Caenorhabditis elegans: one gene and its partners. The protein of the gene in region 3 binds, or shares a complex with, the protein of the main gene of each other region. Each region holds a gene or a part of one and is shown on either strand. Other genes may lie near its edges. The genes, in order: eif-3.B, eif-3.F, eif-3.K and eif-3.E.

The links.
Region 1: eif-3.K (region 3) and eif-3.B share a complex: the UniProt entries of both Caenorhabditis elegans proteins name them as parts of the eukaryotic translation initiation factor 3 (eIF-3) complex.
Region 2: eif-3.K (region 3) and eif-3.F share a complex: the UniProt entries of both Caenorhabditis elegans proteins name them as parts of the eukaryotic translation initiation factor 3 (eIF-3) complex.
Region 4: eif-3.K (region 3) and eif-3.E share a complex: the UniProt entries of both Caenorhabditis elegans proteins name them as parts of the eukaryotic translation initiation factor 3 (eIF-3) complex.

Annotation. Positions count from the first base shown.
Region 1 is NC_003280.10:14,791,726-14,799,883, reverse strand, and holds eif-3.B (Eukaryotic translation initiation factor 3 subunit B), read right to left. Parts: upstream 4,481-8,158; 5' UTR 4,456-4,480; coding exon 4,374-4,455; intron 4,305-4,373; coding exon 4,111-4,304; intron 4,066-4,110; coding exon 3,733-4,065; intron 3,680-3,732; coding exon 2,972-3,679; intron 2,902-2,971; coding exon 2,041-2,901; 3' UTR 1,649-2,040; downstream 1-1,648. Other genes in the region: tbc-20 (Rab-GAP TBC domain-containing protein), read right to left, coding at 146-605, 661-853, 908-1,089, 1,142-1,247, 1,297-1,398; Y54E2A.10 (uncharacterized protein), read right to left, coding at 7,330-7,503, 7,549-7,659, 7,709-7,835, 7,889-7,976. UniProt on the Caenorhabditis elegans protein: RNA-binding component of the eukaryotic translation initiation factor 3 (eIF-3) complex, which is involved in protein synthesis of a specialized repertoire of mRNAs and, together with other initiation factors, stimulates binding of mRNA and methionyl-tRNAi to the 40S ribosome.
Region 2 is NC_003280.10:9,328,389-9,336,394, forward strand, and holds eif-3.F (Eukaryotic translation initiation factor 3 subunit F), read left to right. Parts: upstream 1-3,254; 5' UTR 3,255-3,273; coding exon 3,274-3,426; intron 3,427-3,855; coding exon 3,856-4,370; intron 4,371-4,424; coding exon 4,425-4,563; intron 4,564-5,150; coding exon 5,151-5,228; 3' UTR 5,229-5,582; downstream 5,583-8,006. Other genes in the region: eat-3 (Dynamin-like GTPase OPA1, mitochondrial), read left to right, coding at 1-326, 380-647, 831-898; wbp-2 (GRAM domain-containing protein), read left to right, coding at 1,386-1,502, 1,599-1,977, 2,478-2,689; scp-1 (Sterol regulatory element-binding protein cleavage-activating protein), read left to right, coding at 5,665-5,738, 6,096-6,238, 6,282-6,713, 6,762-6,856, 6,906-7,863, 7,912-8,002. UniProt on the Caenorhabditis elegans protein: Component of the eukaryotic translation initiation factor 3 (eIF-3) complex, which is involved in protein synthesis of a specialized repertoire of mRNAs and, together with other initiation factors, stimulates binding of mRNA and methionyl-tRNAi to the 40S ribosome.
Region 3 is NC_003283.11:12,950,738-12,957,293, reverse strand, and holds eif-3.K (Eukaryotic translation initiation factor 3 subunit K), read right to left. Parts: upstream 3,293-6,556; coding exon 3,117-3,292; intron 3,070-3,116; coding exon 2,871-3,069; intron 2,692-2,870; coding exon 2,598-2,691; intron 2,546-2,597; coding exon 2,339-2,545; intron 2,230-2,338; coding exon 2,183-2,229; 3' UTR 2,065-2,182; downstream 1-2,064. Other genes in the region: mpst-7 (Rhodanese domain-containing protein), read left to right, coding at 1,852-2,007; pqn-68 (D-aminoacyl-tRNA deacylase), read right to left, coding at 4,106-4,297, 4,353-4,556, 4,600-4,656; T16G1.18 (uncharacterized protein), read right to left, coding at 5,271-5,357, 5,865-5,957. UniProt on the Caenorhabditis elegans protein: Component of the eukaryotic translation initiation factor 3 (eIF-3) complex, which is involved in protein synthesis of a specialized repertoire of mRNAs and, together with other initiation factors, stimulates binding of mRNA and methionyl-tRNAi to the 40S ribosome.
Region 4 is NC_003279.8:10,638,620-10,645,767, forward strand, and holds eif-3.E (Eukaryotic translation initiation factor 3 subunit E), read right to left. Parts: upstream 3,663-7,148; 5' UTR 3,657-3,662; coding exon 3,567-3,656; intron 3,499-3,566; coding exon 3,223-3,498; intron 3,177-3,222; coding exon 2,700-3,176; intron 2,645-2,699; coding exon 2,189-2,644; 3' UTR 1,904-2,188; downstream 1-1,903. Other genes in the region: mrps-30 (Mitochondrial Ribosomal Protein, Small), read right to left, coding at 1-337; cdc-26 (Anaphase-promoting complex subunit CDC26), read right to left, coding at 768-835, 880-1,132, 1,300-1,358, 1,404-1,608; B0511.17 (DUF4283 domain-containing protein), read left to right, coding at 4,410-4,525, 4,960-5,086; tag-344 (Protein kinase domain-containing protein), read left to right, coding at 5,665-5,785, 5,831-5,935, 5,983-6,305, 6,353-6,663, 6,710-6,953. UniProt on the Caenorhabditis elegans protein: Component of the eukaryotic translation initiation factor 3 (eIF-3) complex, which is involved in protein synthesis of a specialized repertoire of mRNAs and, together with other initiation factors, stimulates binding of mRNA and methionyl-tRNAi to the 40S ribosome.

The DNA of each region.
Region 1 (8,158 bases), on a different chromosome or scaffold from region 3:
TTTTCGTAAATCGACAGGGCTTGCAAAACCATAATTCCATTCAAAAAGCTGCAGAATTCGCTTGATAATCTATTTTTCAAAAAAAAAAAAATTTTTAATTAAAAACATTTTTTTTAAATATTTTTTCTGACTGCAAAAATCGTACACAGAATCCTTGATGATCGTGTCGATGGGCAACTCGTGGGGCATTTCGGTGAGCAGACGATGTAGAAATGGCATTTCTCGCTCACAAGCCAGAATGCTTGCCCGTCGAAACACGACGACAGCCGCCGACACGTAGATCGGAAGCAGTGGCGAGGAGGCGAGGAAGACGTCGAAAAATCGAACAATCTGCTGATATTGCTTCAGTGTATGTGAGAACCAGGTCAACGGCCACGAGAGTCCGAACATGGTGCCGAGCTCGACGGATCGCATAACTTGCTCCAAAGATGGGTCGACACGTGACAAGATGACGTAGAGGAGATCCAGCTCTCGGACTACGGATTTTTCGAGAGTTTTTAGCAAATAGTTGTTGAATGAGCCATTTTTCGCGAGATTTGAGCAGACTGGGAGAGCATCTACCTCGCCGCAAACTAGAAGTACTGTGAGGCAAATGTCGTGGAAACCTGGAAAATTTGAATTTAAATTATGTTATATTTATTTTCACATCATTTCACTCACCCTGATAATAATTAAACCGTGGATTAATACTGAGCACCCGTACAATTAATGGAATGAGTTCGGTTTGAAGCACGTCTCGATGGGTATCTGATATGTTCGGTGGGAACCTGGAAAGCGTCCGATGAACGTCCAATTCTACTTGATTCCATTCTTTGTGGCCTTTTAAATCTTCTAGTGTCAGCTCCTCGCTTTCCTGGAACACAAGCTTATATTTCATATTTAAAAAATTTATATTCAGTGTAAAAACCTCATAAGCAGGCTCCTCGTCGAAATCCGACTGCGCAGATTCGAAATCCGAGTCGTAGGACGAAGAAACATCGTCTAAATCATCGTTTTGCACTAAATTCGCGGATAAAACTGGCCAAATGACGGCGCGGAACTCATCGTCCACAAGCCCGCCGGGTGAAATCGCAAAATCGCGGAGTTCGTCTGAAAATCGTTTTTTGATAAATTTAAATTCAAATTCTATAATAAAAATTACCAATATATAAGCTGAGATCCTCTTTTCGGTGCTTTTTCAAAAATCGATCAATTGCTTCGCGTTTATTTCGCAACGCGTTGAATTTTGCTCTCGCCAGGGGTCCCGGCTGAAAAATTGATTTTTTTTCGTTAAATTTTCTCATTAAAAACCCCTACTTTTACATATTCTTCGCCCAAATCGCTGCATGAGGCTGTCTGCCACTTATCTACGAGCACCTCTTTCAACGGCGAATTTGGCTCCGAAAACGATGAGTGCATGAACGGGTTAATTGCTAAAATTGAAGTTTAAAGTTTTTTATAGAAATTTTATTTTAAAAAAGTATAAAAAGAACAGAGTAAAATAGAGAAAGTGGATTAAAAATTGACAGAAAACCCGATGAGACATTTGTCGTCAAATTTAATGCAAAGTGTGCATACACCGTCACGTCACATTGCACCATTTGTGGAATTTTTAATAAACGTGGAATTTTTTTTTCAGAATCACAATTTTATAGCGCTGAAAAATATAATTTATGAATTTTCACTTCTGTTTATTTGGAAAAAATCTGAAACATCAACTAATTCATCAACATTTTATCGGCAAAAACCACCAGAAAACACGGAGAGACGGGAGCAACAAGAGATATTAAAGTGGATAGAGAGAAACAATTAAATAATATTAGGGCCGCCCAAAAGAAGCTTGAAAAAACCTTCTCCATTCAGGCATCATAAAGTTAAATTTGCCATAGAAAAAGGCGTTGTTCAGAAAATGACGACATGACTGGGAAAATGAAGAGGAAAACGAAAACGAGTACATGGTGGAACCACCAAAAAGAGGGGACGCCGCTCCAAGTCTTCGAGAAATCAGGAAGAAAAAGCAGCGCATAAAAAAGGGGAAAAACCGGGAAATCAAATAACTAATTAGTCTCTCATCTCCTCCTCCGTCAGAGGGGCTTGTGTTTTGCTTGTGCTCAGCGCAATGGTAATCTCCTCATCCACAAATTCGTCCTCGTCGAGTTGGGCTTCTGTGTCCACGCCGTTTCGAAGAGAGATTCTCTCGTCACGGGTGGCGTCGAGTTGCTCGCGATTCCGGCTTCGAATAATATCGAAGGCAGCCATGATCTTGCGTCGCTTCTCAACAACCTCCTGACTGGCTCTGCACTTTTCGTCGTCATCCTGCTTGATGAACTTGGCGGCGGTCTTCTTCAAGTTCTTCTTGATCTCACGCTGCTTCTGTTCGCTCAACTTCACCGGCGGCCGTGGTCTCCACTTGAATTGGGCGAGCCGGTCGAGATTCTTTCTGCACAGTTCTCTTCCCTGGAATGTGAAGATTCGGTAACCCAAATCGGCTCCGGCTCTTCCTCCCAACGTTGAGCATGTCACAAAGTATCTTCCAGTTGGATCCCAATATCCCTTATTGAAGAGTGGATGTTCTATAACATTAGTTCTCTTGGCCTCCGACAAAGAAGTATCAATGAAATAGACGTTTCCTCCAGCTGACACCTTGGCGAGAACTGCAAGCCATCCTCCTTTCGGCGCGAATTGAACCTCATTGAAGTGAACTCCAGCGTCCAACTTGCTCACAAGCTTCGGTGCGTGGCTGTTAGCCTCGATCTTGTAGACTTGTGGAGTGGCCTTAGCGGTGTTTCCCACGAGCACACAGAACTTATCGCCTTCTGGATCCCAATCGAAATGGATGAATGGCTCCGAAAGTGGGAGATTCATAAGGGAAACGTCCTTCTTGTCAATCTCGAAGATGTCCACGTGGTATTGGCATCCTCCCTGAAATTATATCATTATTATTATTATTGTCATAGGCCTCAAAAAATCCTTTAAAAAACTCAAAACTTACCACATATTTGACTTCTCCGGTCTCTCTGTACTCCTTCTTCTTGAATCTCATCGTGTAGAAGGCCAATCGCTTTCCGCTCTTCTGCCAGAACATCTGAGCGTCGGCGACATTGTGAACGCGAGCCGAACGAAGTCTCTGCATTGATGGAACTTGCAAGAGTCCAAACTCGGCTGGAACGGCGTCAGTGCACTCTGAATAGTAGGCGAGGACTGTGGATGTTGGCGACCACTCGAATTGCTTGATATTCTCGATATTCACGGGACGGCCTTCATAGAGCTCGAACTTCTCGGATTCGAAGATCGAAATTCCGTTGATCTTCTGCTCACGCTCAAGCTTATCCTTTTCTGGAGCCTTGAGGCACGCGAAGTACTTCTCATCGAATGACCATCTGAAGAATGGCCAGGTTGGGAGCTGAGTTCTTCCGGTGAGCTCGAAAGTGGAAAAGGCCTTCTTCAATTCTCCGGTTCGGACGTCCCAAATTCTCAAACTATCCTTCTCACAGTCTCCCCAGCTGTTCGACTCTTCCGGAGCGGCGTAGGTAACAAGGTAGGTCTCACACGGCGAGAAATCAATGTATTGAACGTTGGTATGAGCGAAACGGTGGGCACGAGCGTAGTCTTTGCCTCCCCAAAGTATGATTCCTTGCTTATGGATCGTGGAAAGGTAGGAGCCGTGTGGTGACCAAGTGAAGACGGTTTCGGTCCAGTTCTGGAAAAAAAAATTATTTCATTTTTTAAAAACAAATAATTCTCAAAACTTACAGCTCTTTCAGCCTTATCGGCATCTCCTGCAAGCTCTGGATCATTTCCCTTCATATTGGTGAACACTCCGACAGTTGGAACTCCAAGTTTATCGTGGGAAATTGCGAACTGATCACGGCAACGCTCGTTTTGAAGCCACCACCAGAGATCTCCAACGTCATTATAAGCCTGCTTCTCTGGAGTTGTCCAGTGATCGGAAGGAGCTTCGAGTTGCTTCATATCCTTGAAAGAACGGGCGGTGAATGTGTGATTCTTATCGAAAGCATATCCATTCAAACTTTTCACGGCGAACTGAGCGGATCGTTGATCGGCCCACTCGGTGAGCAGAACTCCCTGGAAAAAATATATTAAAATCGATATCGTTTGCGTGAATCTCACCAAGCAACCTCCTTCTGGACTTGGCGGAATGTAGAGCTTCACTGCAGGATCCAACCTCTCCAGAACCTTCTTCAGTACACTTTGGAGTTTTCCAAGACGGTCAGCTCCAACAACTGGGATTCCCGCGATGAAGACGCAATTGTCTTCAAATTCATCGATAGTTGGTTTCTTGTGGAGAACGTCAGGAACGAGAACTGAAATAAAAACATTGATTGTTGGCTATTTTTTGGAATTGATTTCAAAAAATTGAATAAAAAACCAACCATCATCGGTGACGTCGTCAACAAATCCTGGCGGATCCGAAAAATCTTCTTCGTTCTCTTTATTAAAGTCAATTTCGACCATTCTGTGTAACCCAACTAGTCTGAAACTTTAGACACGGTTTATTGAGTAAATTGTGAGATATTTTAAAGGAAAATGGAAGGAAAAACGAGATAAGTTGAATTTTTACAGAATTTTCTCCGAAAATTGTGGAAAAATGTTGGAAAACGCTGGAAAATCTGAAAAATAGGACCGATATTTGGAATATGAACAAACTCTAAACAACACCCATGCGGGAGAACGGAGCGTCGTTGCAAGCGCTCGACCGAAGAGAATCCTAGGCCGCGTCCATGAGATTTGCGCGGAATTTCAAATAGAGATAATTTTGAAACTCAAACGCGAATCAATGCATTTATAAATATTTAATGAAAGAAAAATGGGTGTACGCAAACACCAGACTTTACGAAGAAATGCGGACATTTGCCCTTTTTTCCGGAGAACGCGGCAGCGAGTACATTTTAAATATATTTATCGATCAGTTGTTTAAGTAAATAGCACAATCGATACCGAGCTCCAGTCGATGCCCGCTCAACAATCAAAGAGCAAGCAACAATCCAAGGGGGTAGTCCTCACAACAATGCTGCTGACCGTTTACTGTACAAATCACGCAATTTTTACTATAACATGATGATTAGTATACATTATTCTCAATGGATTCGTCCTTGCAGATGATTTGCTATGAGTGTTTCAGTAAAAAGTTGTTGAATCAAAGAAGTTTTGGATTTTAAGAAAGAACTTGAAAACTTAAAATAATTCTGATAGTCTTAGGTCGTTTCATATTCTGGGTTAGATGAGTTTTGTCGACTGTGCAACAGAAAGGTTTGGGCTTTACATTGGAAAAAGTGAGTGTATTGCATCGGAAGACTATGTCTGGATACGGAGTTGTGTTTTTGTTAGTTTTACTGTAACATGATGATTAGTTTACATTATTCTCTTTGGATTCGTCCTTGCAGAGTATGGACTATGAGTGTTTCAGTAAAAAGTTGTTGAATCAAAGAAGTTTTGGATTTTAAGAAAGAACTTGAAAACTTAAAATATCTCTGACAGGGTTAGGTCGTTTCATATTCTGAGTTAGATGAGTTTTGTCGACTGTGCAACAGAAAGGTTTGGGCTTTACATTGGAAAAAGTGAGAGTATTGCCGGTACAAAATCTGCCAGCTTCGACGGAAGGGATAGCTTGTATAAAACGAAAAGTTAAAGGCAAAACCACAAATGATTTTTAGCAGTTCTTTTTTATTCTTCTGCGGATCGTCTTGCTTTTTCATGATTGATGATTCTTGGTTCTCCATGATTAGTACGGTAACACAGCAGCATTTTGTCAAGCTATGTTTTTGCGATGAGCGGCCCTGTTTGATGACCTAGCGGCACTCAATTGCGCGCTCAATCGAATGACTGGTTATTTAAAATCGAAAATAGAGGTGGGGTAGGCGATTTTTTTTGGAATTTTTTTAGTCTGCTACTTGATACATATAGACACTTTCGTATCTATAGAAATTTGATGTTCTTCAAATGCCACACCTCTAATCGATTTTTATTTGGCTAGCACAATCGATACCGAGCTCCAGTCGATGCCCGCTCAACAATCAAAGAGCAAGCAACAATCCAAGGGGGTAGTCCTCACAACAATGCTGCTGACCTTTTACTGTACAAATCACGCAATTTTTACTATAACATGATGATTAGTATACATTATTCTCAATGGATTCGTCCTTGCAGATGATTTGCTATGAGCGTTTTAGTAGAAAGTTGTTGAATCAAAGAAGTTTTGGAATTTAAGAAAGAACTTGGAAACTTAAAATATCTTTCATAGTCTTGGGCCGTTTCATATTTTGAGTTACATTAGTTTTATCAACTGTACAAGAGCAAGGTTCGGGTTTCACACTTGAACAAGTGAGAGTATTTCATCGGGAGACTATGTCTGGATATAATAACCGGTAGTGTAGTTTACTACAATAAAGTTGTGTAGTTCAATACGATCATCACCGGGGACTTCCTGTTCCAGTGGTCGTTTAGCTGTAGCTAAGCACTCACTGGATGTGGACCTCCAAGCCCTTTCTTGCATCACTTGGCCGGTGCTGGGTAACGCACGTGACGTGAGAAAGGTCGCAAATCCCTAGAAATCTTGAAAAACGGGACGGCCACCCAAGGGTCAGTGGATTCTGCTGGCAGATTAAGCTGACTCTAGGATTGTCTAGGGTCGGTCTTGTTTAATCCCATTGTGGGGTAGAGATCTAGTCCGTGAGGAAAAAGGCGGGCAACTCGATCAAACGCCAGTAGATCTTCGGATCCGACGGCTTTGGTTAAGAGGAACCCTGTGTTATCACTATTGTGCTACAGGCTCGCCGTTTCGGATAATGCATCGTACATGATTCAAACAAGGTGAGCGCAATAATGTTTTGTTCTTTTAATAAATCGAAAATATTTTTAATTTTGTTTATTTACAATTAGTTTTGTTGCTTTGTATGTTTGAATACTTTATATATGTTCATTTTATTGACGACTGTGAGTTTTGCCACGATTAATTCAAACTCGCTAAAACAGGTAACCTAAAAACCTATGCTTAAAAAAAGGAGTTCATATCTAAGCACCGGATTTCTCATGTATATGTACATAAGTGCTATCTAAAAGTTTATCATGTGTGTTCATCAAATAATTTTTAGTTTACACTAAATAATATACAGATTCATTGAACAATTACAAATGTGCACTCCTGCGGTATCGGAGACGGTAAATTATTGCGAAATTTCAAGTCTCCTGCCTTTTTTTCAGCGGAGATTCCGCGTATAAGAATTTATCATAGGAATTTCGCAATCTTTTATTTATTCAAAATATTATGAAATAAGAAGGGATAAGAAAAAGGCAAGCTAGTCTTTATTTTAAAAACCCGAAAAAAAACACTCATAATCGATTATTGTTATTATTATTATTATTGTTATGATTATTCTTTGAGAACGTCCGGAACATCATCACCGACTTTTTCTTCTGGCTCCCCGAGCTATTCATCATCACTCCGCCTCCGAATCCCGCCCGGAACTTCTCGTTTCCACGTTTTGGGACCAGCGATTTTTGCCGCTGAAATTCCGATTTTTAGCTTAAAACCCAAGACTTCTAAATTACCCTTTGACCCATTTTTTCACTAATACAATTTGCCACGTACATCGCCGCGACCACAACTGACAGCATTATTCCACCAAACGCGAGAGCCCAACGTGGAATCGCCGCGTGAGCCTGAAAACTTCAAACATTGTCATTGGAGCGCGATTGCACCATCGCTCACCGGCGACAAATCCACGTGGATTAGTCGGCTGGCGTGTGACATGGCGTTTTCCAGCGAGGTTAGCGTCGTCTCCCTGGCCGACGTGACGATTGGGATGGAGAATCTGCGAAGATGTGGCCACTGGTTTCTGCAAGTGCACTCGATTGATAATTTTTCTTACTATAGGTGGCCTAGAAATACCCGAAAAGTGGAATGAGCAGCGGAGTTCGAAGTCGTTCGGGCTGCCAACTTTGGATGTAGACGAAGATGACGTCAGCGTCACAGTGCTCTGGAAATTTTTGTTTTTGGTGGCCTAGGTTTACATGATCATTAGGGCGGCCTAATTTTTTAGAACATTCTAGGCCATGGCCTAATTTACTTTTAGGATTTGTTAGTCGATAGCCTTAATAGCTTTTCTAGGGCGGTTCTGGAAACTTTCTGGCTCATGGCCTAACTGTTACTGATAACTTT
Region 2 (8,006 bases), on a different chromosome or scaffold from region 3:
CATGCAATTTCCTTCACAAGGCTGCATCAGAACGTCTTGCAGCAGTGAAGAAGCAGCTTACTGACGACAGAGGACCGGGTTGGGCATCGAAATGGCTAATGTGGAAGACCCCAACTGCTGATAATCATTATTCATGTGTCATTCAGGACGAGCTTTACTCAATTTTAGGAGCAGATCCAGAGCACAAACAGGCGTTGACTGATGATGATATTACTGTAATCAGAAGAAATATTGAGACGAAAGGCGTACTTGAAGTTCCCACTGAATCGATTAGAAAACAATGGAAATTAGTATTTAAGAAGCACTTTTTGGAGAGGATAATTAATGTAAGTGTGACTGAAACATTTGAAATTAAATTTTTATAAAATATTTTCTGCAGAGCAGCAAGGACTGTCTATCGATGTATCAGATGTATCGTCAAGGAATGATTGAAGGACAAGATATCGATTGCCAAACCATCGTACTTTTCTACAGAATCCAAAAGATGGTCAACTTGACGTGTAACGCACTGCGGCAACAAATCACAAATACTGAACACAGAAGGCTGGAAAAAGAGATTAAGGAGGTGTTGGATGATTGGTCACAAGAGCCAGATATTAAAAAGAAATATTTGACGGGAAGACGTGTCGATCTTGCAGAAGAAATTCGTATGTTTTTTTCTGATCTTCAAATTTTTATTAATGAAAACCTGGATTTCTCATGCAAAGTTATACTTTTAAAATTCTTTAAATTCCAAATGTAATGTAAATTTTTATAATTGAGATTCCATTTTCAATTTCAAAATGTTGCGAAGTTTCATTCAAAACAAAATTATACATTCTCCATTTCAGAACAAGTTCGCCGAATCCAAGAGAAACTCGAAGAGTTCATGGCTCAATTACAACGTGAAAAAATCTGAAATCTCCTCGATGTTTGATCAGCTAAAACGATTTTCTTAGATTCTAGGTGTGTGCAATTGTTTGTTTGTTTGTTTGTTTCTAGTTCTATTATCACATAGACTCGAAAATAGGTTCTCTAAAACATGTAATTTTGTCACTTGTTTTTGTAAGTTTTCATCACGGCTTTTTGGTGCTTTTTTGCCATTTTATTTTATTTTTCCATCCTTTCATTGACACGAAAATGTATAGCTAGTCTTTTGCCTGCCCTCAATTTTTGATAGGTTATCTCAACTTTGAACCGGTTTTTTTGTTGTAAATATGATCTAGGTCTCTAATTATTGTGCTTTTTCCCCAATTTTATAATTTTTTAAAATTTAAACGAAGATTTTTCCCTAAACTAACATTTTCATTTGTTTTTTTTTCGTATTATGCTTCGGTTTTTCGATAGAAAATCCGCTTCTGGGTACCTTTTTTTATCCTGCTACCACTTGTTTAATTTATATTTAGATGTCCATCAACACGGCGAACACGCCGGACGGACTTGGTGTCCTACTGTATAATGGAGAAACCATCGTGATTTTTGCACAAGGAGTAGTAATGACACTAGGAACCAGTGAAAATGAGGTAATTTATTGCAGTATTTTTTTCATATCTTTTAAACACCAAAAATCTTCATTAGCACAAATGCTGAAAATTATAATCATATTTTCGAATTTATAGAATTTGGAAGGACGTCGAACGGGAACCATCTACCTCACATCACACAGAATCATTTTCATGCCAGACCCTGGAGATTGGCTGAAATCATTTGAAATTCCATTCAACAGTATGCAAGATGTTAACTTAAACCAGCCGATTTTCGGAGCCAACTACCTATGTGGAATCGCCTCGGCTGTTCAAGGAGGACAAATGCGCGGAGAGGTTAAATGGAGAATGACATTCAACAGAGGGGGATGTATTGAATTCGGGCAATCTCTATTGCAAGCAGTCGAAAGAGCTGTTCGAATGAGACCAGAGAATGCTCCACCTGCATATTCTCCACCAATTGGAGATTTCTACTCTGCACCGCCAGCTTATTATCAGCCGTCGCCGGATCAAGGTAAGATTTTTTGAACATTAAAAATAATCCTGAATTCGAAATTAAAATTACCTAAAAAATGTTAAGCGTAATCATTAGAGATTTGTATGAATTTGAACATTTTTCACTTTTTTGAAAAACGAAAAAAAAAGGAATCCAAGTTTGAAACATTTTTTAAAATTTTTTAAAGATTAATTTTTAAAAAAACGAGTTTTTTCTTTTTTTTTTCGATCACTTTTTGTTTAAGAGAGATTTTTTGCTAAAAATACCAAAAATCTTCAGTTCTGGTCAGACAGTTTTGCAAAAATGAAAACGTGCTCTAATGCAACTTTCTTCCACCTCGTTGCATTTTTGTTTCACAATTTTGTTGATTTTTGAATTGATTTTACCATCTTTCTTTGGATTTAATGGTTTTCTTATCAAATTCGTTAGAAAAATAATATTAAACCGCATTTAACTTTTTTTTTATTTTAAAATTATTCCCCGGTTAATCCGATTAATAATAGATTTCACATTTTCAGGACCAAATGGTTTCAATCCAACCACCGATTCGTTCCCAGATCAGCCGAACCCATCACGAGTTTTCATGAGCTCAGCACCACCACCATATCCAGGAATCGGACCAGAACGCGGCCCACATCCAACTGAAGAACTTCATGTTGCTGGACAATTTGAAGCACCACCAGCTTATGGTTCAGGAGAAACAGCCGATGGATTGAGGCGAAGAAATTAACTTGTAAATTTAACAACAAAAAATGACATTAGAGAAAGTGTTTAGTTCAAAATTATGGGGAAACACGTAGAAAACAAAGCCAATTTACCCATAATTTTTTTCCGCATCGAAAAATGATTCCAAATAAGCTCAGAAGTCTAGTTGCACACAAAAACTATCTAAAATTCCACCATTTATTTTTTGTTTTTTTTTTTAATTTTTGCACGTCTCTCTAAAAATCTCATGTGAATATAAGTAAAAGTTGTGATAAAACTATAAACTTTCGGTAGACTAAGTCTATGCCCTCTCTCTCTTGATGCCCCCTCTCGTTCCCAGGATAAAGTATATATGTATAAGTGGAATTATATCTCTTTCTCTGATTCACAGAACATTTATTTTATTTTCTCTTTTTTTTCGTTGAAAAACACAATTTTTCTTTTAATTGTAAATAAATAAATAATTTAAAATATTTATTAAGAACTTTATATTTTTTATTGATTTTTTCAAAACCATTTTTCAGTTTTCAGCTGAATTTACTATTTTGATTCAGATTATTTCTTTAATTTAGTTTTTTTTTCAATTACAGGGTTCAGAAAAAAGTCAATATGGCTTCGAATTTAACTGTCAATGTCCACCCGGGAGTCTACATGAATGTTGTCGACACTCATATGAGACGTACCAAGAGTTCTGCGAAAAATACAGGACAGGAAAAGTGCATGGGAACACTTATGGGATACTATGAGAAAGGATCGATTCAGGTAAAAATATTTATAATTACAGAAAAAAGAGCCTAATTTTTTGAAAAAACTGAAATTTTGCAAGCTTATTGGTGTCTGGAACTGTATTTAATCTAATTTTTTTAATTTTATGTAAATACCATCGACCGAAAAAGTATCTAAAACAACGAATAAAAACTCAAAATGACCGAATGCTCAAGTGCTCACACAAAAATATGCCAAAATTTTGAAAAAAGTATACTTTCAGCTAAAATCTTCAATTTTGCAAGCTTTCCCGTGTCACAAAGGTCGGAACTTAATAATATTCAATTATTACAATTTATTGCATTTTTGTGGAACTAGAAGCAAGTTCTGGCCGCTGTAACCCTGAAAAGTTTGCAAAATGGATGATTTTCGCTAATAATATTTTTTTTGGAATTCATGATATTTTCTCCAATTTTTATTTTCCAGGTCACAAATTGTTTCGCGATCCCTTTCAATGAGAGCAACGACGATTTGGAAATCGATGATCAATTCAATCAACAAATGATCTCTGCATTAAAGAAAACTTCTCCAAATGAGCAACCAGTTGGATGGTTCCTTACAACATCTGACATTACTTCTTCGTGTCTCATCTATCACGACTACTATGTACGTGTCATCACTGAAGCATCGGCTCGTCGTGAATCTCCACCAATTGTCGTTTTGACAATTGACACGACTTTCTCTGGAGATATGTCAAAGCGTATGCCAGTTCGTGCCTATCTTCGCTCAAAAGCCGGAATTCCTGGAGCTGCTGGACCACACTGTGCTATTTTCAACCCACTTCGTGTCGAATTAGCTGCATTCCCGGGAGAACTGGTTGCTATGCAACTTATCGAAAAAGCTTTGGATTCCAGAAGAAGAGAGGCAACTCTTGAAAGTGGATTGGAGCAATTGGAGACGAGCACAGCTCAGATGATTGAGTGGTTGGAGAGAATGTTGCAGTGAGTTTTAACATTTAAAATTATCTTAATTGGAGAATAAACCGTGATTTTCAGTTACGTGGAAGATGTTAACAAGAACGGTGAGAAGCCAGGAGATGCTCAAATCGGTCGTCAACTCATGGATATTGTCACTGCCTCGTCAAACAATATGCAGCCAGAGAAGCTCGATACTCTTGTCAAGAATACTCTTCGTGTAAGTTTTCAGCCAAAAATATTTAAAAAGCGAGAAATGAAAAGTTGTGTAATATTCGTACGTGATTTTGAAAATTTCGAATATCTTGATCAAAATAGTTTTTTTTAATAACCTCAAAAAGTTTTTTTGTTGGAAATTAGTAAAGTTTATACGTTTTTCAGTTTAGTACAGAATTGTTAGTTTTTTTTTCTCAAAAATTGAGGAAATTAAATCTTTAGCTAAAAACACGAAAAATCTGCAAATTTAGGGAATGCCTATACATTTTCTGTGCCGCGCGAAACCCGGTAGATGTCGGGATATGATATCCGCTACCCTCCCGAATTTGAAATTAGCGTTTCCAATTTTTTGAAATTTATGCATACAATTAAATTGTCTTTATTATTATCTCAATTAGAGCATTGCACAAACACATAAATAGAAACTTGTAAATAAAAAACTTGTGAAACCTATCTTCTCAATGACCAAAAACCATGAAAAATGGGTGTATACTCATGTAAACAATATGCCCGCGAGAAAAAGCAGTTGACGAGAATCTAAAAACAAAAAAAAGCTAAACCTCTTCAAATATTTGTTTTCTTCTTTTTCAGGACTACGTGATGGTTTCGTACCTTGCCAAATTGACTCAAACTCAACTTCAAGTTCACGAACGTCTTGTGTCGGCCTAATTTTTGTTCTCCACACTATAAACTCGTTTTTGTCCCGATTTTTTCTAATATATTTTTTTTTGGTTGGCGTTTGTTGTTTTTCTTTCCATCCATTTATATCATCCTTCTTCCAATTCTTAAAATATTTCTCCCCATGTTTTCTATCTATCTGCCTTTTTTTTTTAATGGATTGTCTGAAATTAGTATTTGTTGTTTTCTTTTTCTCATAATTTAGCCTTCTTATTGATTTGGTTTTAAAGAAAAATCAATGTTTGAAGGTTTCTGATGATGATCACTTTCTATCGGATAAACCTCGTTGTTAAAGGCGTCTGATGGGATGACTGAATTGTTTTTTGCATGAATTTCTATATCTGGGCTCGGAATAATCTGATTTTGAAATTATCACTAGAGCGTTCAGATCTACATGAGAAAATAATTTTGAAAAAATCGATAAAAAATGAACGATCGAGTGAAAATTCGATGGAAGGAGGCTAAGGAGAGAATTGGAAACGCATATCACGATTATGGACGGTAAATATTTCGAAAAATTATCATGGATTTTAACATAAATCCGAAAAAAAACGAGTGTCCATGTACGAGAGATTTTGTACTACACTCGGACAAGTGTGCATTTTACAAAATCATAGTTTCACAGTTTTTGGCTATTTTTCCTCATTCATTTTGCATTAAATATATACTTTTGCATTAAAATTTTTGCATTACTTGTCCGAGTGTAGTATAATTTTTTTCGACATTCGCATGCTTTTTGTGTCCAATTCATCAGTATTTCTTAATAGTCTATCTGAAAATTTTTGAATAAAGTAGAAGTATAGTTCTTAATAATTTCTCTAGCAAAAAAACCAAGTTTCCGAAAATAAAATTTTTCAGATTATGTGCCGCCCATCCAAAAGCCTGCCTCTCAATGTCCCTTCTCACAATGATTGTCCTCTCATATCCAACAATCACACGTCTCCGTCTACCAGTCAGCACTCCGATTGATGTATTTTGGAGTGAACATTTACATGTTAATGGTAGAATATTCAATTAAAACCCAGAAAATCAGCTAATATTTAGACAAAATCGCCCCCTTCTGGATAAATGAAAATCCGGCATCATACATCCAGCAATTCATTGTCTCCACTACAATATCTCCATGGAATGCAACAGAAATGGGACCGGAGCATGCTGTTCGTGCGGCAATTGCGACGGCTTTTCGAATTCGTCAAATTCTGCTCGCAGAGCCCGCTGTCGAAGAACTATGCCTTCGGCTAGCAAATCAGAGACAAGACTCCTCATGGCCATTTCGTTCAAAATCACTCTGTGTTGTACTCTCGCCCGCCAGTATTTGGTACAATAATCTGCAAAAATTTCGAGAAGACGATGACACAATCACTACGGTTTTTAATGAGCATTGTAAATCCACGTTTTGCATGAGAGATTTGTTGTTGGGAGCACCTATTGCAGCGACAGGCATTAAGCAGAAATATCAGACGAATCGAAAAAGAAGTAGGATTTGAAAGTTAGGAAACATTTACTAATTTTGTATTTTTTCAGAAATCGAATTCGCTGTGACCATGTTTTTTGCAAGATATAGCAAGAAGGTTATTCAAGGAATAAGAGAGAAACTGCAAAAAGAATTTGAATTAGTTGTGAGTTTTGGATTTTACGTTTTCATTTAAAAAAAACAATTAATTTCAGGACACTCCGCCTAACGATCAACGAACATTTGTTCAGGTGTACTTCCATCCACTCAAGACTTTTTCAGATTATATTCCACTGATATCGACTTATTTCGTTTGCATGATCTACGTCTACTATTCTTCTCGTAAAATTCAAATGGTTGCATCTCGATGGGGACTTGCTTTTGCCTCTTCATTTACTGTTGCATCGACACTTCTTATGACAACTGGAATATGTGCTCATTTAGATTTGAGTACGACCACTTGGGGTTCCGAAGTATACCCATATATTGCATTGATTATGGGATTAGAGAACACTTTGTGTATAACTCGAAGCGTTGTTTATACATCTCCATCATTGGATGTTTCATCAAGAATTGCACATGGATTATCACAAGAAGGATATAAATTAACTAAATATTATATTCTAGAGCTTCTCGCGTTGCTTATCGGATTTTTAACGAGAATATCTGATATTCAAGAATTCTGCCAGTTTAGTGTCATTTGTGTGACTGTCGATTTTTACATGCAGCTCTTCTTCTATGCACCATGTCTGACGTTTGATCTACAACGCCTTGGGCTCGAGGAAAAACGGAAATTCGCAGAAATTCTACTCTATGAAGAGATTCCACGTCTCAAAAACTATGCACCTGTCAGCTGTCCGATGCGAAAAATCTGGCCCAAATTGTTCGTAATGAAGAAAATGCAAAAACGGCGAGTTTCGGATTCTGGTATAGAAGATGTGATGAAGAATGATGAACAACGTCGACTACTGATTTCATCTGAATTTGATTCAAAAGATGATGGAGATGTTCAAGAGCCAAGGCCTGAGGATAGTGTTCGAATGAAAATAATGTATTTTATAACAAGAACTCGAATTGTTCAACGAACTATTTTGGTAGTTTTTGCGATTTGGACTGTCTTCTTGGTTTTCTTTGTTGGTTCAAGACAATTGGGAATGGAGAGTAATTTGACGAGTAAGTTGTATTTTTTAAATGAAAAAAAAACAATTAAATAAAATTTAGATCAATCGATTGAAAGTCTTACAAGATCTCATCGAATTCTGTCAACTGCGAATTTGCAATACGGAAATTGGCAGAGAAGGACTTATAAATGGTAA
Region 3 (6,556 bases):
AGTTACATGAAATAATGTGAAATGGATTTTCTAATTTGTAGAAATTATAAGATAGCTCCGAATTCCTACAAAATGCAACAAAAAATGGAATGTTCCTAAGACACTGCGAAACTCATTACTGCACGGAAACAGCAATATGAACATTTGAAGTTGTGGAATTCACCGAATTAATTATATCCTACAAAATAGAGAGAAAAAAAATTTTCAAAAAAAAAAATTTTTTTTGAGCAAAAAAAAATTTTACTCTATAGGCAGTCATCCCCATTTTTCTTCGATTCCTTGTTCATAATCGAGAACTAATGCATTTTGAAAAAAAAGCGATCAGTTGTAACTGAAAGCTGTCAAGTAAGCCTAATACAATGAAAATGAGCAAAAAAATTGACTTTGTGCTCTTCTGGAGCACAAAAATGCTCCATGTCGGCATGGGAATACATTTTTGTAAGTATGGGAACAAATGTATGTGTGGGAATGTCGGCATGGGAACGTTCGACTACTGGATGTAAGCATGGGAATTTTGTATGCACGGGAGAAAATGTATGTATGGGAATGTCAGCATGGGAACGAAAAAAATGGGAAAAATGAGTTGTAGGCATAGGAGTACTTCGACTACTGGATGTAAGCATCAGAATATTTTGTATGCACGGGAGAAAATGTATGTATGGGAATGTCAGCATGGGAACGAAAAAAAAGGGAAAAATGAGTTGTAGGCATAGGAGTACTTCGACTACTGGATGTAAGCATCAGAATATTTTGTATGCACGGGAGAAAATGTATGTATGGGAATGTCAGCATGGGAACGGAAAAAAAGGAGAAAAATTAATTGTAGGCATGGGAGTACTCGAACTACTGGGCGTAAGCATGGGAATTTTGTGTGCACGGGAGAAAGTGTCAGCATGGGAAATGTGTGCATGGGAAATGTGAGCATGGGATAGATTGCCTCGAAAAAACGGTAATTTGGCACGCGGCACTTCCCACACAAACACACCTCCCACGCACGCCAATAATTTTCAGATGTATGATTTTTATGTTAAATTTTAAGTTAAAGAAGTGAAGAAGCGTTTTTGATTGTTTTTGTAGCATATAAAAATTTTCTGTGTCGACACTGGCGCCTAGCAAGAACCTTTGAATTTTTCATGAATTCAACTTTGCGAAATTTACTCAGTTTTTTTGGTTTCGCAAGGCGTAACGACCCACAAAATTATCCGAGCTCAATTTTCTAAAAAAATTCTGGAAAGTCAGGTCAAAACGTCTCGAAAAATACTAAAATGAATTTTTCTGCATACTGCTACTCGCCGCTCACATCCATCTTTCTGGCGACTATGCCATTCAAGACTTAACCTACTGCCGCAGTCCATGACAGAAATACCGTGATAGAAATTATTTGGATTTTTGTTTTTAAAGAATCTCTAGACCAAGAGCATTCTTTGAACTATAAAACTTGTAAGACACTTGATGGATTCCTCGAGAAAAATGTAGAAAAACCGCAGAATGCCGACTTGCGTGCCATAAAGGTCGTGATCTCAAAAGTTCTGAAGGCCTGCAGCGATGCGGATGGGAACATTTTGAAAATTCAAAACGTTCATCTGGTCAGTATTTTATGGAGAACAAAACTTGTACAAATTGATGTAATAACTCTCTTCACTAGTAAAGTTATAGAGCTGCAAACGTGTTACCATACTTTTGGCCCACCCTGTAAACAAGATAATTTCATTGAAAAATGCAAAATTAAAGAAGTACCATAAACTTATTTGCGCGTCGAGACCAATCTGGATGAATCCATGCGTCTTCGAGAAGACATGCTAAAATCTTTTGAAATTATGATAATATTTCTCGCTAGATCATATTCTTCAGATTATATACTGTTCCACGTCACTTCGATCGGCAATGGTTTGGTGGGCTTTGACACGATCTGGTTACAATGGGAAGATCTATTTTGGCGGGTGGCCTGAATGGGTAGTCAGAGCACCTGACGGTTTGAGAGTCATCGGAGCAACGACGGAGACTTGACGCTAAAAGAAGATCCATGTTAAATATTATATGCATAAAATGCGGGTAAAAGTGAATATTGAATAAAGTTCATGAAAACATAAAGGAAATATAAATAGGAAAGGGAATAGAAACGGGGGAAAACCGAACAACAGAAACAAGGGTATTATAATTTGAATGACAGTGATAATTGATATTAAAGAGTCAACGGGGGTTGAATGCTGGTCAGAAGATCGGCGACATCTGAAAATGATAGATGCACTTGAGATTTTACTAGGCATTTTAAATTTGTTCTTCGATTATTAGGACATTTTTTAAATCGTTTGAAAAACCTAATACGCATAATACTCACGTGGGAATTGAATTTTCTCGTCGATATTTCTTGTTTTGATAGTTCCTTCGTGATTTGCAACAAAGAAAACATCTCCATTTTCCTTGGCTTCCCATCCGAATGATTGTGCCAGTGCGGTAACTTCCTTGTCACTGGCTCCGCCGAGAAGACGGCTCAACATTTTCTTTTCGATTTTTTGGAACGTAACACTGATGACGCGACAAGCATCTGAAAACTTGGTATTGAAATTGTCAAGCAATAAAAATAATATTTAACTGACAGTGCTTGACAGCATCCTCGAATCCGACCATTGGCTTGATCATTTTTGGGACTTCGCCAGGAACTTTGAAGGGTTCATTTGGGTTCGTTGTTGGCTGAAATTTTAAAAATTGATTAGTCGTACGCCGAAATTAAAGAATATTCCAAAAATAAATAGATTCAGCATTGAAATAAATACTGAGTTTCAGATGCACACAAAACAAGGTTTGATTTTGAAAAGCTCACTTGTTTCAATATTAGATAAATCTATTCTTTGAAAAGTGTAAAAACTCACTTTATACGCCCCCTTCACCAATTTCCAGAAAACAGCGAAGTTGCAAGATTCGAGCACAGCTCCAAGATCAAAGATTCTGCGAAGTTCTTGAGATCCGAGTCTGTTGGTGTCGATGAGACACTTGGCGAGAGCGAAATCACTCGATGGCAAAACCATCAACGTCTTGAGCAAAACTTGTCGAACAACAGCCTCGTCGTACCTGTGAAAAATTCTCTTTGAAATTTATTAATCTTCTTGAATACTTACTTCTCCGGGTTAAGCTGGTAGAGCTTGAGAATGGTCAAAACGATATCTTTATCGTACTTGTTTTCATTGACCATAGCTTGAACGCAGGCAGCCAAGTCGGCAACATTTTCCGGATTGTATCGGTTTACTCCTTCGATAGCTTCGTGCAATTCCTTTTGCAGTTTCTCGAACGACATCTTAAAAACAAATTATAGCAATTGAAGAAAAGAAACTCTGCGAGAAATAATAAGTAGAGTGAAACTCCTGAACAGACTCGATGAAGTCCTGCGCAAAGTGAAAAAAATCTTGCATAAAGTTGCGCACATCTTTTGTCAAATCGATTAAAATTACGCTAAGTTTCTCCATTAATTAGAAAAAAAGCTACAGAACACATCAAAACTGATAGAAAAATATTTAAGAGAAAGAAAAAAAATTTTCTCAATCAAAATAACAATAGTTTTAAAGGCGCATCGAATAAATCTGAAGGCATATCCTGCACAGATCTTCCTCGATTTTAGAGGCACTCCCCATTTGGGTTAAGAGATTTCAGTGAACTCGATTTGCTATCAGACAAACTGAAATGGAGACGTTTTTCCAAGTTTTTTTTTCAGTTTTTAATGAGATTTACATTAGAAATAAGAAAAAACTATTGTTAGAGGAAAACTCAGCGTATGGGTTTCGCCACGCTGATATCGGGTTACTGTAACTGGTGTCAAATTAAGGGCCACATTTGCCTCATAATTTTCAAATTAAAGGAAAAATTTCTGTTACGATTTATATAATCAAAATTTAATGCAAAATCCATAAATCGACAAAAGTTACAGTAAGTCGTCGTCTGCGTGGTGAGACCAATGTGCGTAAGATATTGAAAACTCGCATTTAAGGTATACGTAATATGAGGTTTTGCCAGAGAATATAAATATATGAAAATAATTAAGATATGATGACGGAATCAAACCGCTGTATGAACAAAATTGTACAAAATTCAACAGTAGTAAAACAAATTTTTATTATTTTTCTTTACTATCAAAAGTAACTGTAACAGGTCCGTCATTTACAATATCGACGCTCATCATTGCTGCAAATTTGCCGTCCTGAATCTTATCAGCTTTGTAAGCTTTTTTCATGGCTTCAAGAAAAGAAGCATAAAATTTTGAAGCTTCTGTTGGGGCCATTGCGGTATGAAAGTCCAGTTTATTTCCCTAAAAAACGAAATAATATGAATAGTTTTGTTTAAGTATATTAGACAAAACTCACTTTAAACTGACCGTAAAGGGTGAACTGACTGACAGACAGCACTTCTAAATCGAGATCCATAACTGATTTATCCCATGGTTTTTGTTCCGAAGCAGGGAAAACTCGTAGATTCAAAATTTTCCTAATGATATACTTCATATCCTCTTCCGTGTCATCTCGATGAACTCCGACAAGCACACACAGACCTCTTCCAATGGAACCTACCTGATTATGATATTTTAAACAATAACGGTTAATATATTCTTACCACTTCATCACCTACGGTGACTGCAGCTCGAGTAACTCGTTGAAGAACTACCTTCATTTCTGAAAAAAATTGAAACAACTAATGTTAAAAATACAAAAAAAAACAGATGAAAACTATTGAAATGTTCTCTTGAAAACCCTAAAAATAAATGAAAAATGTTTGCTAAACAGAGCGCGCTAACGACACTCCACCGTATTACTAGTCCTCAAAGGCTCGGCCAGCGCGACGTGGAATCTGTACACGGTCTCCTTCACAAGAAATGTACCAACTCTCTCGCGGTTTGCTTGCTGGCCACCTTGCCGTTGTTTTCAACAGGAGTTCTTAAATTTGAGCAGAAATCGATGATACGGTAGACTGTAGCAGCTATAGCCTTGATTGTAGAAAGTGGATGCACTTCATAGATTTTGAGCATATATAACTCTGTTCATGTTTGAGATAGAGACTAATGATAAACTGACAAAATGAGCATTACAAAAAGACAGACATTTCTTAAGTTGAGAGTTTTTTGATATCTCTTCTCAATAAAAAGATACGACCATAACTTGATGGCTGTGGTTTTACATGCCACCCTTAATTAAAACCTTACAATCTCCGTTATCTTTAAAGATACAACAATTTTATTAACCAAATATTATGACAAGCAGATTTAAAACAATTTTTACTAACAAGAACTACATTTCTATATACAAAAAATTATGGGGATTTTGACATTTCCAAGTTGGCCATCTTAAACCGGCTATACCACTAAGTCCTGAAACCTGAAATTGATATTTCAATTGGGAACTTATTTTATATGAGATATCTAACAATTTTGTGAATACTTTCTTCTAACTTTTAAAAAAAGTATTTCATGAACTGTTATTTGACTTTCTAATCAATGTAGCTTTTGGGGACATGCAACTAGTCTGTCTTACAGGTTAGAAAAATATTGTCAACTAAAGAAATATTAATCATTTCAAACTGAACATTTTGTTATGTAGTTATCAGCTCTTCAGTAAAGAGGGTACTGTAGTAGCCAGCGTAATCTTTGGACCGAAATTTCTCTCTTTTAACTCAACTAATAAGTTTTTCCATTAGCCGCTTTTCACTTTAAGCCAACTTTTTTTAAATTCAAAAAACCTTCAAAAATCGACAATGTAGTACTGAGTTAACTTAGTACTACATTGTCGACTGGAGTTGATATTTATCCTTTAAATTACTCTTTTGTATACAGACATTTTTATATGTCTTATACTTCAAAAGGTTCAACAAAAATGTCTACATACTAGAGCCGGACGGTAGATCAATATGTGCAAAATAAATGAGATCAGATGTAGGAGTGAGAGACGCAGAGACCGTATGTTTCTCTGCCGTCTCATCTTGTGGAGGAGGCCCACAACATGTCAAATGCTACGTGGCCGTGAATATTAGTTAAACCATAGGCCGGGAACACTGCAATTGGTGGTCACTTACCAGCCAAATTAACCCACTTCTCAACCAACTTTTTTCAATTTTTTCCAATTTTTGCCAACTTTTGGTAACTCTTTCCAGTTGTTTGTTGCAAATTCCCAAAGATTTTTGTTTCGGTAACGTGTTTATGAATATTTGTTCTATAATACTGAAAACATTTTTATACAATTCTTATTGAAATTTTTCTTGAAACAAGTTTGGAAAGTTAACGTAGGTTTTGAAATACGATTGATATCTTCGTACTTTTTTGAGAAACTGAAACAAAATTCAAAGATTTTTATTGAATAGTTTTTGTGAAATCACAGTTTGAAATATATCTTAAATTCCCCCGAATATAATAATTTCCATTATGGAAAAAATCAATTTCACGTTTATTTTTTTTTGAAAGGTCAAATTCCGCTGCTGTCGTGTTTGTTGCGATCTTCGTGGATTTTGTCTGCTTCTCCAGATTTTTGTATGCTAAATCGTTTTGTATTACCAATCATTGTGTTGCTGTGATTTTTACGAC
Region 4 (7,148 bases), on a different chromosome or scaffold from region 3:
GTGAGACGAAATCAATTTTCTCTTTAATTGTTGGCATTGAATGGACCATTTCTGCAGTCTTGTAGTAGTCGAAAACGCGAACTCCTGCTCCAGATGCATCGCCAGCGTTCACAAATTCCTCTTGGAGCATATGCTTTGGCTCGTGGTGCTGATGTGGCTTTCGATAGTATGGCGGACGATATACAGTTGAAGCGTTCGCTGATTTGGCTGGAACATTTTCTGATTTTGGGGTGGTAACTTCGATTTCTTGTGATGATTGTGGTAGATCTGCTCCTGCAGTTGTTGCCTTTCCACGGCAGACTGTTCTGATCATCAGACTTCGTTTTAACCCGTGCATCTTGCAATTTCTGAAACAGGGCTGGTGAAGAATTAATGAAATATTGGAATTTCAAAAAACAAAGAAAGATAGAAAAATCACAGACTATGACAGTAAATGTAGCATTTCAGAAATATTTGTTTCAAATATTGTACAAATTTATTTAGTTCGAAAAAAGAAGAAAGCACGCTGAGGAAGTTGGAATTGAAAGGGAGATCAGTAGCAGGGCGTGTAAAACTGCGAATTTCAGTATAACAATCCAAGTTTTTAAAAAATTAAAAATTGATAAATATAGAAATGTATAAAACGGTTCACTTTTAATGAAAAGCTTGAGAAGACCTCTAAAAGTTTTTCTACGTTTCTAAATCAATTTTAGATCAAAAAGTGAATTATTATATTGAAATAAGCGGGTTTTGCACGTTTGCCTAAACACAACCCTGACCAGTAGTTGTTAGTGTCTGTGAGATCGTGTATTTGAAGAAGGTCCTCCAGAAGTTGAAGTAGGATTGCCGGGAGTAGCTGAAAATAAAATATTGACAATATTCCTCCAACAACTCATTGACCACCATAGAGATGAGCATTAGGAGATTCGGGAGAGTCAGAGGGTGTTGGAGATTCGTCATTGATTCCTTGCTGTGGTGTATCATAAGCGTTGAAGAGGAGTGGCGAATCATTGTCACCAGAACGAGAAGCTCGTGGACGTCGACCTACACGAGGTGGCATAACTCTCAACATTTCAGCTGATGAGACAGGGTTGACTGGCGTCGAAAGTGTTAGAGTTGGAGCAGCGACAGGAGTTCGAGCAGATGTTAAAGTCTGGAAATACGGAGAATAGCCATAAGATAAATATGAAAAAGTGAATAGAAATAAGTGTTCGAAACACCAACAACACAAAATTATGTCACCTGCACTTCAGTGAATGACATTTCACATCGATTCTAAAAGGTAATGTTTAAAACATTTAATTTAAAAAAAAAAATTACCGGTGCAATGGAAGTACGCGTGCACTCTCCCGTACTTGGTCCTGGAACGTCTCTGTTCTCTGAAAAAGCTAGGTTAGGAAAAATTAAATAAATCATCATCTCACTTCTATCCGCCGATCTGAGATTTCTCCTAGTTATGCCACGTGGAGGCTCACTCTGATCCATCGGCTCCATTTCGTCAATATCCATCATTTCGCATTTTGGCACGATCACAGCTGGAAGTACCCTCTTGTTCAGTTGATCTGTCAGCCATTGGATATCGTCCTCACACAATTCTAATTGTGTTAATGGACGCCGTAACATTGACATACTGAAAAAGAGTGAGATAAATTATTTAATTTCATAAAAACTGTGAATTGGCGAAAATGTGTATTTTTGGAGATTTAATTTTTAAACGGCAAAATCGAACCTATGGCTTAAATATTTCTGTAATTAGCGAAAAAGTAAGGCAAATTCAACAGAAATGACAAAATATACAGATGGAAGTGTTTTTCCTCACAAAAAATAATTTCAAACAATTTCTCGGCAACGGCAATAAATATATATTGAAAGGTTTCATAAACCTAGATTCTAACAATAATCAAACCATGATAAAAGAGAAAATATATTATTTTAACCAATTAGAACCGAACCTCCAGCCCCTGCACTAACGAAAGAAGGGTCAGAGACAACAAAAAGAAACAACAGGGATATAAGGAAAGTTTAGAAAAGACAGAATTCGAGTAGTCCTCGTAAAAAACCGAGGAGCTGAACAAATAAGAAAGAAAAATAATACTGAAAACTGAGAGATGACAGTCTTAATCTCCGTGTTTGCCACATCTCAATTTTCAGAACAGCATCAGATGAAGAAAAAGGAAAAAACATTCAAAACCGGAAGAACTTGTAAAGCCTAAGTCGCCTTGACTTTGTCTTGACGACCTTTTTCCAATTGAAGGGCGATTTGTTGAGCGCGGAGGGTCAATCTCTTCGTGTTTTCCATGACTTGCTCGTGGATGCTGACGGATTTGACACCCATCACCACTTGTCCCAACTTGCTGTCAATTTTAGCTCCTTCGATACGATACGTTCTGATCAAGTCAACAATCCAGCGTTCAGCTTCCTCTTGGCTCATATTCAATCGTCGTGCTAGCATTTCTATGGTAATGCACTGATGAATGCGGCAGAACATCTCGAAAATGAGAAGGCGTGCAGACTCGCGGAAATCTCCAAGGACAGCAGTCAGGAAGAAATCATTGGAGAGAACCTCTTCGCACTTTTGAAGCATCTCTTGAGCCTCGTCGAAATCATATTTGATGTAGAGACAGGTGAGGAAATCAGTGACGGGATCCTTGTAACTATGGCGTTCCTGTAGAAAAACAAATAATTAATCATATTTTCATATAGAAAATAGTTAAACTCACGATGTCAATGACCTTCACCAAATCTTTCAAGCTGTTCTTCTGGCGGCTTTTGCTGGTAACAACGGCAACAGCCAGATAGCGGAGCAAATGTGGCGCCAAAACTTGGATTGCATTCAAATAAGGTTGCTGGTTCAAGAACATTTCGATAATCTCATCACGCCCTTTTGGATAATTGTAGTAGACGAAAAGTGCCCAGTGCATAAGCCACGCACGTTGCGTAACAAGTTCCCATTCCGTGTCGAATGGATTAGCATCGATGTAAGCACGAAGTTTCAGCAAATCGTCACGAGCATGTTCCCATTCTTGGAGCAGAATTTCACTGGCCAACTTTCCGTAAAGAGCGTTCAAATAGTTTGGATCCGCTTGATTGACAAGGTTGCGGTAGTAGTAAAGGCACACGGATGCGACGGTGTAATTTCCGCATTCGTACATGAACTTGCTGTACTTGAAGAGGGTATCGACCATGTCTACTGTGAACTGCAAGAATTAAGATTATTTTCGAAACTGCAAAGCAAAAACGTACATTGTGGTTTTGAGTGAGATGCTCCAAAATACGGACATTTCCATCTCTTTCTCTGTTGTTATCCATCATTTCCTTGACTTCCGGTATTTCCAAAATGGCAACAACGGAGTCCACCTTGCTTTTCAGCTCATCTCTCTCCTTGATAATTTGCTTCTTCTTAGCCTCAATTGCAGCCGGAATAGGTTTTCCATTGTAGGTCTCTATAACACTATCAATCATATTGGTCTTGGTCAAAAGCTGGCGGTGCATTTCGGTCAGGGATTTCTCATCGTAAATCTGCAATTATCATTGATATAAATAAATTCAGCTATTTCAGAATCAACAATTTATTGTTTAAATCTTACTCCTCGTGGTTCGATGAACTCCAAGAGCGGAATGATCAAATGAAGATCGAGAAAAGGCGCCATGCGCTGAGTCAGGTCGAATGTCGACATTTTTACCTGTAAAATAAGCGTATTAGTATAGTAATATGTTCTAATAAAACTCCAATCAATTTTCTTAACGGAAAACATAAATAAAACAAAAACAATGAAATTGCAGAAAGAAAATCGAGAAATTAGGAGAAATTCGCCGGGAAAGGAGGAAATGATAAACAACGCGCGCTATGGAATATCGGAGTGTCGTTGCTACTGCCTGCCAACACGAGCCACCAGCGAAATGAGAACTGCGAGAAGTAGAACTACGAGAAGAATAACCGAAAACTGCAATTTGCGACATTTGAAAAATATTTCGGAGTTTTTTGGTTCTAAAATTTCAGTTAAAAGTTTTTTAATTTAAAATATTCAAATTGAGAAATTACGAACGAATCATAATGTTCCTGGGATTAGGAAGAGTTACAAGATATTAAGACCCGAGCCCGTATCGAGACCCACCCCGAAAAACATTGTGTGGCTTTAAAGCAATGCTTAAATATTGTAATTGTGAAATGTCAGTTTAAAATCACATATTAATTTTTCGAGTGGGTCCCGCAACGATCTCAATAATAGTGTGCCAAATTTTACCGATGTGTCAGAGACACAAGTTTTATGAAATTTCAAATTTTGAAATGCACAGAAAAGCGAACAGTAAAATTTAGAATGCTTTATTATTAATTTTTGGGAACAGACGAGACCGTAAATTCATGTGGTGTCAGGTTGCCCCATTTCGGTTTGATCAACATTAAATTCGGGTATTTGATGTCAGGAGGAATGCCGAATCTACGAAGAATACGATTCAATTCATATGGACCTCAAAACTATGAAGGAGTAATGCATCGAATTATTCACAGACCGTGGAATGGAAAGCGAAGACCAAAAGTGTTCAAGTGAGAATATAAATTATTTGTCGTAGAGCTGGCGAGTGGGCTACATGAAGAGCCCTGATTCTTGAGGGTAGTGTGCCACCCAGTTGAAACAAAACCTGACTATATAGTTTGACTTGTGGGTCTTGGTTACACATATTGTTTCTAAAGATCTTGACATACCGTATTTCCTCTATTAGTTCAACAGACTACTTTACTTTGAAAGGTTATATCTCGGTTCATTTCAAAGATATCATAAAACTATTAACTACAAAACGATATAAAAAGAACTACCAAATATTTCATCAGTTAATTATTTTTGAAAACAACCGAGATATAAGCTCTCAACCGTGAACGATGGGGTGCCATACTAATTGAAGAAATTCTTGCTACCTATCTACTGTAGAGATTAAAGGAAAAAAGCTAAATTATTTTATTTGAAAAATAATAACATTCAGATACAAAATAGACGAATTGGATTGTACACTTGGATGGGATATTGAGAGCGACGATGGACAAATTGCAACCGTCAATTTTATCGAAGAATGCCTTGATTTTGTTGTATGGAAAAACGATAACTATTAATTCAATTTAAGCCAGTTGCTGTTATGTCAGAATACACTGAAATTGACCAAGATATCAAAATAAAAAAGGCAAACAATTTTTAGATCTCAATTTTCAAATAACCGCTAAAATTTGTTCAAAACTGTTTTGGTAGATTTCCAGCTGCCAAATCTTAACTTTTTGGGTGCAAACAGTTTTTTTTTCAAGTTGGAATGTTATATTTTGATATTTGGGTCTTTTCGAATTTTTAAAAATGTCCCCCACTAGCACTACTCCATTTTACCCTCTGTTTTATAAATGTATATGTTATTCAATTACTCTCAAATTATCATATTATTTATATTTTCATTCTAATCCATGCTTTTTCAAAGACTTCATTTTAAAGAAACCTATAATATTATCGAATCCAGATTATAGGAATTAGGCATGTTATGAGGTGTGTAACAGGCGCCAGAAAGCAAATAGTTAGTAGCGAACATTTTTATTTCCCGATAAAATGTTAATTAAACATTTTCAACAAAGAAAATTTACGGAGAAATCAAGGAAAAATCGAAAAAAAAGTGACCTTTCGTGAAACGTGAAAATGTCTTGATGAACTGATGAATCGAGAAGAAAAATCTATTAATCAATATTCATCGAACCAAAATCGACCAATTTCGCAGTATTTTGAATTCATATTTCTCTGGCAAATTGTTGAAATGGCAACGGAAAACAATACAGGTAAGAATTTTATGCAGATTTTCAGAGAAAATAACTAATTTTCAGATGTTTCTGAGAACCAAGAAGAACCTGATGAACTGAGTCCAAAAACGAAAGCTTTTGCTCCAACACTCGAGAAGGTCTGGAAGCTCAAATTTGAGAAAGTTCTCGGTAATCATTTGGAAATTAATTCCAATTTATAATTCATTAATTTACAGGTAGTGGCTCCTATTCCCGTGTGGCACGCGCAACTTTCGGAGAGAAAAAGCTCGAAGTTGCAGCGAAAATCATCAACATTACGCCAACTCGTGAAAAAGAGGACTACATCAAAAAGTTTTTGCCACGTGAAAAAGAGATTGTCAAGCTCTTGAAACACGATAATATTTGTCGTTTGTACGAGATGATTTCATTTCAAGATCACATCATCTTCGTCAATGAGTACTGTGCTGGAGGAGATTTGCTCCGTAAAATGAAGGATATCGTGGCAATGAAAGAGGAAGATGCAAAGTTCACATTTCGTCAACTTATTGCAGCACTTACTGTAAGTTTTATATCAGAAAACTGTTTTTCTTAAATTTATAAATTCAGCATCTGCAATCCTATAACATTGTGCATCGGGATCTCAAATGCGAAAATATCTTTATGGATAAACATGGAAATGTGAAGCTCGGCGACTTCGGATTCTCGAGAATTCTGAAACCGGGTGAAAAATCTGGAACATTCTGTGGATCGCGAGCATATGTGGCTCCAGAAATTTTTCGTGGCAGAGAATATTCTGGAAATGCAGTTGACGTATGGAGTACTGGGGTCATTCTCTACATAATGCTGGCTGGATCAATGCCATTTGATGATCGTGACCCAAGGAAAATGATCGAGAGACAGTTGGCACATAAAATTAAGTAGTTTTTTTTTAAAAGACAACTCAAGTTAAATTTCTCATTTCAGATTCCCGAAAAGTTGCACATCATCGGTCTTTTCGAAGGCTCTGGTCCTTGAGATTCTCCAGCCACATGCACCGAACCGTCCGACCTACAAAGCAATTTGTGAATCTGAATGGCTCCGTACTCAACCGTACTACATGAAACCCAATGAGCCACCAAAAGTATTGGCAACTCGAATTGTGTCACCTGCAACTCCGATTGTTCCTGTCTCAGGAAAACCGAAAGAAGTCAAGAGACAGCAAGGATGAACGGCATGTGAACTTATTGTGACAGTGAATAAAGCATTTTAGTAGATTTATTCTTTTAAAACAAGATTGTAGTTTGTCTGTCATAAAGCGATTTCATGCCTTTGCAGTGTATCAAGAAAAGTACACAACCTCTTCAATTGAACATTTCCATTCGATATTAATCGGAAACACATTTCAGATACATTTCAGACAGTG